2 linked regions of the Caenorhabditis elegans genome follow. The protein of the gene in region 1 interacts with the protein of each later gene in a pairwise test. Each region holds a gene or a part of one and is shown in the gene's direction. Other genes may lie near its edges. The genes, in order: unc-108 and rund-1.

What was found.
Region 2: the proteins of unc-108 (region 1) and rund-1 interact in a two-hybrid assay, tested with the Caenorhabditis elegans proteins (one study listed by BioGRID).

What each region holds. Positions count from the first base shown.
Region 1 is NC_003279.8:3,820,609-3,826,550, forward strand, and holds unc-108 (Ras-related protein Rab-2), read left to right. Parts: upstream 1-2,274; coding exon 2,275-2,297; intron 2,298-4,338; coding exon 4,339-4,460; intron 4,461-4,513; coding exon 4,514-4,757; intron 4,758-5,152; coding exon 5,153-5,435; downstream 5,436-5,942. Other genes in the region: npp-11 (Nsp1_C domain-containing protein), read left to right, coding at 400-587, 643-716.
Region 2 is NC_003284.9:657,677-663,598, reverse strand, and holds rund-1 (RUN domain-containing protein), read left to right. Parts: upstream 1-1,821; 5' UTR 1,822-1,841; coding exon 1,842-1,947; intron 1,948-1,991; coding exon 1,992-2,058; intron 2,059-2,304; coding exon 2,305-2,449; intron 2,450-2,494; coding exon 2,495-2,722; intron 2,723-2,765; coding exon 2,766-3,002; intron 3,003-3,053; coding exon 3,054-3,184; intron 3,185-3,651; coding exon 3,652-3,775; intron 3,776-3,840; coding exon 3,841-4,152; intron 4,153-4,200; coding exon 4,201-4,325; intron 4,326-4,753; coding exon 4,754-4,821; intron 4,822-4,868; coding exon 4,869-4,975; 3' UTR 4,976-5,122; downstream 5,123-5,922. Other genes in the region: lpr-7 (Lipocalin domain-containing protein), read right to left, coding at 5,175-5,268, 5,392-5,575, 5,623-5,692, 5,743-5,828, 5,871-5,919.

The sequences.
Region 1 (5,942 bases):
TTTTGAATAGCTATCGACTTAAAATATGACTAAATTAACGAATTAACGCCAGATAAATAATCAAAATATGCAATAAATCGGGATAATTCGATAAAAACTATATTTCAGCCGCTGCGACAAAGAAAAAGTTGACAAAATTTCGCAAAATCCTGCCATAAAACTATCAGATTTTTTTCTTGTTGAGAGTTTTTGAATATTTAAGCAAAAAAATCCACAGGTTTTTTTTAAAATCATAATAACTAAAACTTTTTGAAAGCATTTTTTTTGTTTTTTGTTCCGAAAATACTTAACACAATGCAATCGACAGTCTTGAAGACGAAAGAAAAAAAGCAAAAAGCGACAGCCCTGGACCTTACTCCCCTTAAAAATCAAAATAATAATTTCAAAAAAAAATTCCAGCGCTCAAATGATGCTCAACGTGGATTCCCAAATGAAATGTGCGGACTTCGATCTCGATCAAATCACCAAGTCACTTAACACAATGCAATCGACAGTTTTGAAGACGAAAACCGAGACCCCGCTGGAGAAAACTGAGCTTATTATGAAGAAGCAGCTGCAGAAGCTGATGGATCTCTCCACTCAACACGGTACTAATTTTAGAGTTTTTAATCAAATTATTAAATGTCAATTTTTATTTTACAGATGCTACTCGTGATAAGCTGAACAAGCTGAAGGATGACCACAATCTGAAAACGAACAACTCGTCGAAGGCCTAGATTCTTACTTTTTATTTATATATTCATTTTTTCTTTAAATTGAAACTCTAATTCTTTAAACCTATACACTTTCACCTGTTTTCTTCATGATCACCACCATCACACTATTTATTTTTTTTGTTATTGTCTGTTTTGTTGTGTGTTTGGTTGAGTTTGTGAATGAACTTGTTTTTAAAAAATATTGATTATATTTTGGTTTTTTTTTTCAAGTGTTTTTTAAAATTACACTGATATATTTTATATTTTCTTGTTTGGAAAATATTTACTTGTGTATTTTAACTCTACATTTTAAAATTAAATTTTAAATATAATTAATTGTTTTATTTCTTCATTTTTTTTTTTTTTTTGGCTTGGAAAATTTTATTTAACTAAAAAAATTAACATTTTAATATGTGGCCCAAGTTATACCCAAGTATTTACCTCTTGCTCTTTAAATTTCAACGAATTTCGTTGAATTTCCCCCATTTGCGGGGGTCACTATTGTTATCAAAAGATCCTTATCATAGTTTTTGATGCTCTAGAAATTTCTAATTGCTTTTCCTTGTGATTTTGAAAACGTTTACAGTGATGTTTCTCTTTTTTGATTTCATCAATTTATCTTGCATCCCTAGGAGCTCCTAGTCAAATGTTAGTATTTTGTGATTTTTGAAAGTACGGTAGCTGCGAGATCGATCGTTTCGAGACTGGAAACCCTACTTTTCATCAAATATCGTAAGATTCCTCGAAGGAGTAACCACCTGTATTGAAAATCGAGGGTGTCAGGTTTTCAATTTTTTGCTAAAATCGAAAAACTAAACTTTTCTTAGAAATAAGTTTTTTAATTCACCAATTTTTGTTTTTGATGTTGATGAAAAAATATATTTACGAAAACAATTTTTAATTTTCTTTTCAAAAAATAATAAAAATAGCCAAAATTTAAAAAAATTTTTTTGATTTTTAGTGGAAATTCAAAAACCGACACCCTTGATGTAAAATTTCCCAACATTGAAAAAGAGTGATATCATTTTTTCCAAATTAGTATTCGTCAAAGTGCAAAAATGCTCTCCGTCTCTTCTCAACGTTGTGTCGTCAATAGTGCTGCTCATTCGCAATTGTTGCTCTCAGAGAGCAGAAGTGGAGGATTATTCGTACACCTGAAGAGACTATATTCCCGCATTCTTTCCTCTTCGTCTTCTTCTTCTTCTTAACCGAAAAATTCGTCAAGCTTTCGCCTTGCTCATTATGCAAAATCTGTTTGCCCCGAGGTCCGGCTAAATGAAGGATCCGAGTGTGTTTTCGTTGAAGATGTCTTTCTTCTTTTCTGTTTTCTCTCTTTTTTTTCTTCTCCAGCTCCACGTAATTGGTGACTCGAGTAGAACTCTATAGCCATTCAGTCTTCTCCAACATCGTCTAACAAAGCCTCTCTTTCAGCTTCTATCTTCTCTCTCTCTCTCTAGTTGACGTCTTCTACGTCTCTCTCTCTCGTTTCAATCTCACTAACCCCCTATTCACGTGAATTCAGCGTCGTCGTCGTCGTCGTCTTCTCTACCCGTGATTCTCGTGACTTCACATAAGCACAATGTCTGCGCCTCCGCTATACGGGTATGATGATAGTCCAATAAGGAAGAGAAGCTCTCTATTGCAGAGTTGAATCTTTTGGGCTAAGTTTATTAATATGGCCATGCACCAGCTTTTTTTTCACATTCACTTCTCTTGTTAAGAAAATTTGAGTAAAATTCGAGTAAAATTACGACTTTTGTAGAATCTGCTATTTTAATTCCAGTGGCCTAGATTTTAAGCATATAATTTGAAGTTTTTAAAACTTTTTACCGATTTTTACTTTTAAAGTTAAAAAAAAAATTATTGATATAATAGTAGGTCCTAAATTATTACGATGTATGCTAGGTCTACTAGCTCTTCTGAAATGAATTTCCACAAATTTATTCGATCATTCCAGTGAATTGGAACTTCCCTCTCAATTGAGACTACAATAATTTGAACATCGTTAGTTATGCGATCAATTAAAGGGCGAAAGGATAACGCATACACTTTCGTTTGCCCGATGTAGATAACAGAAAAGCCATTAGTTGAGAGGCGTCAGTTTCATTATAAACTTCGTAATTCACTTCTGTTTCATAGGCAGTTGCAATGAAGTGATCGTACTTTAGATTTTTTTTTTCTAATTGAAATAATTTCTCCAAAAGCCCATGACCGGAAATCAATTTTTGAAATTTTCATCTGTCGCACACTCTCTTTTGCCAATTCTGTTTGGCTATATATATATGTGTGTGTGTGGTTTTGTGCATGGCTACGAGGGGCTCGACCCAATTAAACAGCACGAAAGGGAAAAGGAGTCCCTCTCTTTTTCGCTCAGCTTTCTCTTATTCCCGATTCTAGAGAGCCGCGCCCCCGACATTTGACATGGAAGAAGAAGAAGAAAAAGAAGAAGAAACATATGAGATCTCACGAGCGCACATCTTCTGAAATGAATTCCAATTGCACCTTCTTATTCGTGTTTCCTGCCAGCAGACTACTTTATTTCTTTTTTTTCTGATCTATGTGTCTTAGAATCTGAAAAAAATTTTTGTCCATATCTGGGCGAGACCCATGGAAATTAATGTAATGTGCCTTTAAAGGAACATGAAAAAGAAAATCCGAAAAAAAATTGAATTTGCAAAAAAAGATATCTCCAAGAAGCCTATTGCTCATTTATTTTATTTTGGCAAAATTGAAAAAAAAAAACATTAACATTTTTTTTTAAATTTTCAAGCAGTTATATTCGGTCATTTAAACTAAAAAATTGTGGCTCTACTCCACCTTGAAATAACCACAATAGTAAGTACAGTAGTTTCATTAAAATAATTTACATTTTTTGGCAGCAAAAAAAGTCTGCTCCCAAATAAAACCCAGACCCGCCGTTCATCACTTGTGTTATTCTTTTCTCGAAAAAAAACGACTCGATCCATTCGTTTTCAGGATATGCTTCTGTGTGTGTATGTGTGCAAAACGAAGAAGCACGTCATCCGAAATAAATAGTCACACATCTCTTTGCTCCCATTTTCCCTCTCTTTCTCTGGTTCTCTCTATCTCTCTTCATCTCTCTTGTTATAGACGCAGAGATAACCCTCCGCTCACAACCACGCTCACGAGACACTCACCACGCGCTCACTCTCTTCGATTTTTTGGCTGTGTTGGTGGTGGCGGTGGCAAGAGAGAGAGAGTGAAAAAATGTGAAAAAAAGGCATGGGTTCCTTGGAATATATATGTTTGGAAGAGGTTATATTGACTTTAACTAACTTTTTTTGCTCAAAAATTTTGCTCTTTTCTGCTATTTTCGCCAATTTTATTTGCTTCAAAAATGTTTTCTAACATGCTGGCCGAACTTTTCCCTATTTCTTATCCATCTTCATCATATGATTCGACCTCATTTCGTAACTTCCTTCACTACGCTCCTCAGTCATGAGGAAGTATTGATTGGTCTGCCTCGTCCACACCACGTCATCAATTTTCCAAAGTTTATGTTTTTTCAGTGTGTGTGTGTTCTCTTCTTCTATTACTTCTACCACCTTTCTCTCTCTTTTTTCACTTTTTTGAGCATTTTCCGATCAATCAATAATCGATTAATCAATTAATCAACTTCCAGAAGAATGTCATATGCCTACCTTTTCAAGTACATTATCATCGGGGATACTGGAGTAGGAAAATCCTGCTTGCTCCTTCAGTTTACCGACAAACGTTTCCAGCCAGTTCATGATTTGACGATTGGTGCGATTTTTAAATTTTATTCAAGTTTTTTTTTCAAAATAATTATTTTCCAGGCGTCGAATTCGGAGCCCGTATGGTGACAATTGACGGAAAGCAGATCAAACTTCAAATTTGGGACACAGCCGGACAAGAATCATTCCGCTCCATCACTCGTTCCTATTATCGTGGAGCCGCCGGAGCTCTTCTCGTCTACGACATTACACGACGCGACACATTCAATCATTTGACATCTTGGCTTGAGGATGCCAGGCAGCACAGTAATTCCAATATGGTTATTATGTTGATTGGAAATAAGAGGTAACATTTTTTTAAAATATAGATTATTGGTTTTTAATATATCGAAAAATAGGTTAACTACTGTTGAAATTCAACGATCGATCCTTGAATTTTGAAAATAAAAATTTTCGCCGGTTTTCCACTGCATTCTCATTCGAAAAAAAAGAACAAAACTAAAAAAATAGTAAAATCGAAACCTTTTTGATTAAAAGCTGTGAAAAAAAGGAGAAAAAACAGTGCCACTGGGTTGCGAATTCACGCTCCGCATCTCTTTCTGTGTGAAGTGTCAAGTTGCCTTTTGCAAAATTCAAGGATCGATTGTTCAAAAATTTCTCTACAAAATCGAACAATTTATAGAAATTTGGTTTTCCAAATAAACACATTTTTATTCAAAAAAATAAAATAAATGTTTTCAGTGACCTGGAAGCCCGTCGCGAAGTGAAACGTGAAGAGGGAGAAGCATTCGCACGAGAGCACGGACTCGTATTCATGGAGACATCTGCCAAGACGGCTGCCAACGTGGAAGAGGCGTTCATCGACACTGCCAAAGAGATCTACCGTAAGATTCAAGAAGGCGTGTTCGACATTAACAATGAGGCAAACGGAATCAAGTTGGGACCACAGCACTCTCCAAGCTCACCAAATTCTCCAGGTGGAAATGCGACGGGAGGATTGGGCGGTGGATCTGGATGCTGTTAATTTTTGATGATGTTTCTTTGAATGAGCTTTGAATGTTTTAACTAAATCGTTTGAATACCAATCTTTTTTATGTTTCCTCCTCTTTTCGAATGTCGTTAGGCACTTTTCTAGTCTCCTTTCTCTCTTCCAGAACCATAATTTTACTTTACATATATATTGCAATTGTCTCTTATTACTACCATCATTTACTGTATATTGTCGCCTGCTTTTTCTCTTTCTCCTCTCTTTCTCTATTTTCTCTCCTTTTCATTCAGTCTCTCACCAATTGTGTGAATATCTGAAATTCCTGTGATTTTCCACTCAATCCATCAGAACAACATGTTGTGAAAATCCCGCTCTCTCTCCCTCATTTCCTCTTAAAAGTTTGTATGTAAGCTCTACTTCTTTTTTCCTTTTCTAATTCTTTCCATTTAATTACTATACGTCTCCAAGCTATCAAAATTTTCAGTGAAATAAATGAATTTTATGAGCGTTTCGTCGAGGATGGAATATATTTTTCTTAAAGTT
Region 2 (5,922 bases), on another chromosome or scaffold:
TTTATTTATTTTTTTCTGACATTTGTTATTTGCCAAGACTATTAAAAAATTGTCAAACTCCCTACTCACCAATTTGTCAAACATTTTAAAGTTTGGCAATTTCCGAAAATGCGGACAAACTCAAAGTTAGACAAAAAAAATTTATTTGTTTTAATATAAATTCATTGAGAAGTGAGCAAAAGATTTACTTTTTTAAGTAATGTGTATGTTAAGTTGCTAAATAACTAAATAAAATGTTTTCAAATTTTCTTGAAACATAAAACTTTGTTTTTGATCTCACTATCAGCTTCATTATATAGCGTTAAATCAAATTTGGAAAGTTTCGACAGGTTTTTCTCATTAAAATATTAGCAGGTCTCAGATACTTCGAGTTTAAAAGTAAAACAACAAATGCATAGGCTTGAGAACTTTTAGGAAATTAGAAACTTTATGTTTGTGGCAAGTCTTAGCAATTGCTGAATTTTAAAATTTTCAGAAATTTCAGTAAACTGTCGATTTGCGAAATTTACGGAGAAACGGCAATTGCTGAACATTTTTTGGTTTTTCAATTTTGAAATTTAATTTTCGAAAATTTAAAAATGAATGCATTCATTAAATTCTCTCAGAGCCAACACGAAAAGTGAATAAATTCGCGCCACTCTTAAACCAACGTTCCTCACTTCTCAACCAACTTTAGCTTCCCACCACTTTCAAACCATGTTTAACCACTTCTGAACCAACTTTGCCCACTTTTCTACCACTTTTAAGCAACCAGTCGCTTTGCAACCAACCTTCGCCACCTTTCGCCGTTTGTAGTCTTCTTTAGCCAACTTCAACCAACTTTAGCCACCTCTCAACCAATTATGGCAAACTTTGGCCAACATGTGTTCAATTGTTTTCAATGATTCAGAGCGAGATAATCAGAATTTCTTAGCCAAAAAAAAAGCGTTTGAGATACAGAAAAAACCTCTTTCATTTTTACTTTAATCTCTCTTACCCAATTTAACATACCATACAACTTTTGCCACATTTTCCTACAAAAAACATCAAAAACGGAAAACAATTTCAAAAACTTAGTTGTGAATGCTTTTTTAAATAATTAAATAATTTTTATTAGTTTTGATGATATTATTAAATATATTATTTGACAAATGACAAATTCGGCAGTTTTTCAAAAACATGAAACTAAATCCGCCAGTTCGCTATTTCGGTTTTTGTAGAAATCGTCGTCGCGCAACCCTGGAGCATTTTCAAAGCCATATGAAAATTAAACCCCTCCATGTCGAAAAAGCTCTCATAATTATGTCCGCCCACAAGGATTTCGTTCGTCATTTCCAAGACTAAAAGCGTCCCTTCTCCATGCTTCTTCCGTCTTTCTCCACGTTACCCATGGCGGTCGATAACCAAGAGCGACGACGTGAGAGTGCATGAAGAACACGAGACGCAGTTTGTTGCCTCATTTCTCTGCTCTCTTGCGTGCTCCGTTATTTTTCTCCTTCTTTTTCCCCTTTTTTGTCCGGCAATCCTTTTTAAAAGCATACGTCATCTTTTTCTTTTTCAGTTTTTCTCTTCTCTGAAAACCCTTTTAGCAGAAAAACGGAAATTGGAAAATGAAAAAAAAGTAAAGTATATATTGTTTTTAATGTTTCGTGATGTAATTTATTTGTCCACTCCCATTTTTCATTTTCATTTTGTTTCAATAAATGGAATTTGTTCAGCTTTCAATTAACAATCTCAAAATAATCATCACTTCAAACAAAATTTTGAAAATGTACGTGTTATTCATTCGTAATAATATATAATTATTTTTTTTATTAATTTTTTTTCAACGTATTGTTTCAGGTGCCAGAAATTTTGCCAAAATGATGAACGAGTTGGAAGCCAGCGACTTGCTAGTAGAGTTGGGTCAATCCTTAAAAAAGCGAGCGTCCGAAGATTCAAAAGAAATTGTGGATGGATTGGATTTTTGTGAGTTAAAAGTGATTTTTGTTTTCTGAAATAATTGTTTTCAGATGACACAATGTCTGAAACTGAATGGAAAAGTGCTCGGTTGTCTTCTAGTCATAGTGATGATATTGGGTAAGCTTTTTGTGTAAATTGTGGTCAATGCAACAGTAGGTTCAAAAATTTTAATCCTGAATATCTCATTAAATTGATGTAGTCCAATTATTTTTAATGCTTTATTTCATCAAAATCATTTTTTGACTTTTTCCATAACTTTTTTCGAGAAGTTTTCAAAAATTTTTATTATGAAATTCGGTAAAGCAATAAAAAAAAATTTGACTGCACTACCTTTAACTGATAAACTCAGAACTCAATTTTTAGAAGCTTAAACGATGCATTACGGGTACAACAATTGGAAGAAGAGCAGGAACGACTCAATAACTCGTTATTTTCCCTGAGCTCCCATTTTGCGCAGGTGCAGTTCCGGATAAAGCAAATGAATGAAGCGGACCCAAGCGATAGATTAGTAAGCTATTAGGCTCAGTTGCCTCATCTCATATGTCTTTTCCAGAAGTTGCTCTCTGATCTTCAAAAATTTGCTTTCAAGGGTTGCACAGACATGAACGAGCTGCAAAGGCTACGAAGTGAAAGTGAAAGTGGAAATGATGTACTAGACAAGCAAAATGAACGACAAAAAGAATTGCTAAAACAGCTCCGCGAGCAAGTAGAAGACTTGGAAAGGACTGCCTATGAAAATGGAGAAGGCGAGCTTCCAAGTACTGACATTTTGAAGAAACAGGTTTGTATAAAAGTAAGAGTTTATGCTGAATTTTAATTTGTAGAAAGCCGTTCTGGATAAACTCCGCGAAAAAATCGAGTTAAATCTAGACATAGATAAAATGAACCAAACAGAAATACAACGGCAAGTAGATGATGCTCTGAAGCAACTTGTCAATCCGTTCAAAGAAAAGGGACAACTAGTAGACCAACTTCAGACTCAGATCACAGATTTGGAACGTTTTGTCAACTTTCTTCAGAAAGAGAATGCTGAAAATTCGAATCAAACTACACCGGTTCGGGTATGATCATTGTTGTTTTTCACTAATTTTCTAGTCAATTTTTTCTTTCAGAGCATGGGATCAACGCCGCTGTCTGGTGCCAAATCTAAAAACGGATCATTTTTAAGTGGAATCATCGGGTGCTCAACAGGAAGGTTTCAGAAAAATCAGCTGAAAAATACTTTGAAAGGAAATCATTATGGGTTAGTTTCTCAAGTTTGTGATCGAAAAATATTTACGCTTTTTAAATCGATAAAAATATTTATTAAAAGTTTGATACAAACATGTGAGCAAAAAACACCACTATACGTGTTTGCTCAAACCACAAGATACAGATCACGTATTTGCACACATTTATTGAGCCAAACTTTAATGATGTGTGTTTTTGACATACTACAAGAACTTTGGGTTTCGGATATTTGTCTGATTATAAAAAATTTTAATTTTCACTTTTTCAAGTTTTGATTATGAAACGAACAATCTTCAATTGGTTCTAGCACTGACAAAATTAAATTTTGCACTAACCACTGACCAAAAAATGTAACTTCCCAAATATAATTTTAATGTTCGGTTTATCAAAATATTTTTGCCAAAAAAAACACGATTTTATTGTTCAATTTCCCACATTCACTTCCATTATGCGAGCATCTTTCATTCAAACTTTTTGCAGAGACGAACGGGCGCATGTGCAACTAGCAGTAGACGCCACACAACAAGTGCTGGAAAAATACACCCTACTGACATTCGACTCGGCAACAAAAGGCCAATTAGAAGAAGTTCAAGTAGAAAATGACGTAGGGCACAAAATTCACAAATTCTCACATGAGGAGATATTTCATTTCGCAATATCACATTTCAGGAGGTCTTTGAACGATCTGAAGAGGAAGTGGTAACTATTGTCCGAAAGCAGCTGTGTCTTGCATTGAAAGCCCTTCTAGAGCATGGGATGCTCTCAGAAACAGTGGTGCACAAGCGGATACCGGGGTTAGGCTGTTTTGTCGCAAAAAGCTCGGCGGACGAGAAATCAACGTCATTGAGTCATATTTGGGATGTGATTTTATACTTTTATAATTTAAAAACTGGAAGAGACACCACAGATGCTCCTGTAAGAAAATTGAGTCAATCCTTTAAATTGGATCACGTCGGAGGAAGAAGCATAACTTCAAAACAGGTAGAATCTGTTTTTTTAAGGACGCGAACAAGCGAATTAATTTTTTAGGTTTTGCTGACAACAATTGAAAACATCATCTCGACTCACGCAAGATTAAAAAGATCAAAAGATGCGCATTGGAAAGCATTTGTCTCAGCTGCTTTGAATGAGAAAAAATTACCTGCTTGGTTGAGGTACGGAAGTCTTTTTTTCGTAAAAAAACCGCGCAACTTTTGAATATTTAGATCATACGTTTACCACTTTGTGTACACAAAAAATAAGACGCACTCCAAAATACAGTGCAATTTTAGATCATGCCGTTCCTCCTAGACTGAAAACCTCAGAAAATGTAGAAACACGTCTGAAATAAATATTCATCTTGACAAGGACTTTATCCGCTTGAAATTCCATAAGAATTTTGATGTTTTACCTATTAGAACTTTGCAAGACATTAATTAACTTGTTAGTATTATTGCTAATAATCTCGTACGAGTTCATTTATTTAGGGTGATCTCAAACAAAAAACCAATTATTTTATATCAAATCCTTGAGCTGCTACATATATTAATACCCGTCAATTGCCCTTATTTCAAATGTCCAAACTAATTAAATTTGTTTGCAGGATCATATTTCGAACCCGACAAGTTGTCGAAATGTGCTACAACTCTTGGAGTTATGTTGCAAGAACAGGTGGGTACCATCTTCTCTTTTTTCCATTTTCAACTCGTTATTTTCAGGCTGTGAGGAACTCTACACACTTCTCGAAGGTCTTCACAAATATAGTATTCACTTACCGGTTGACTTGGCTTTGAGGCCATTCGAACAAATCAAAGACGCATTTTAGTACTATAATATCAAAAAATTTGTAATAAGCATATTAAAATGACTGGAACTGAACAATCAAGACAGTTTAAAACAGGTTCGGGATAAAATAAATTAATTGCCACTTTTTTTTTGAAAATTGTTTTATTCAATAAAAACAATAAAATGGAAAATAAATTACGTTAGTACTTAAATGAAAGTGTTGAAGTATGATTGATAATTTACCCAAAAAGATCAGTGAGAACATTTGTAAGATAATTGTATGGAGTTGCTTTTTTGCACTGTGACCAGTCGGCGTAATGAATAGGGTTGCTTCTGAAAAATAATTTTTTATGAAAAGTCAAATTCGATATGAATTCCCAACGGTTGTCGGATACTAAAAAACGTTTTCCGTTCATTAATGTAAGGACATCTTGCGGGCCCAAAAGCCCAACCTACCCTGTGACATCATCCATGAATCCGGCTTTTTCCAAATCGGTCTCCACTTGATCCTTGTACTCTTTATAGAACTTTCTCAAATCTCGAACTAAACCAATCATTGGGAAACGAGCCCAATTTGAGAGAATTAGGTATTCATACTGGTTGTGTTGCTTATTTATTGGGCCAACTACTACAATTTGATCTGAAATTAGTTTTTTGTGATATGTGAAAATTAGCAAAAAAGTTTACATGGACACGGATCATCCTGCATATAGACATATGTTCTCTCGTGATGAATTATTCCGTATCCAAATGCAACCTAAACTTTCAAAATAATATTCTTCAAAATAATTAGTAATTAATACTCACTTTCTCCCCCGCATCTACACTTCCTGCTCTGAACTTTTCCTGCAAACTGAAAGCTGACGAATTTCCCGATTCTGCTTGGGGCATGACTGAAATACATTTCTTGTTGGGGGTTGATAAATTACACTTACACTCAGTTGTAGCGCAATACCGATTATGAACAGATGGAGTGTCCAGAGCCTG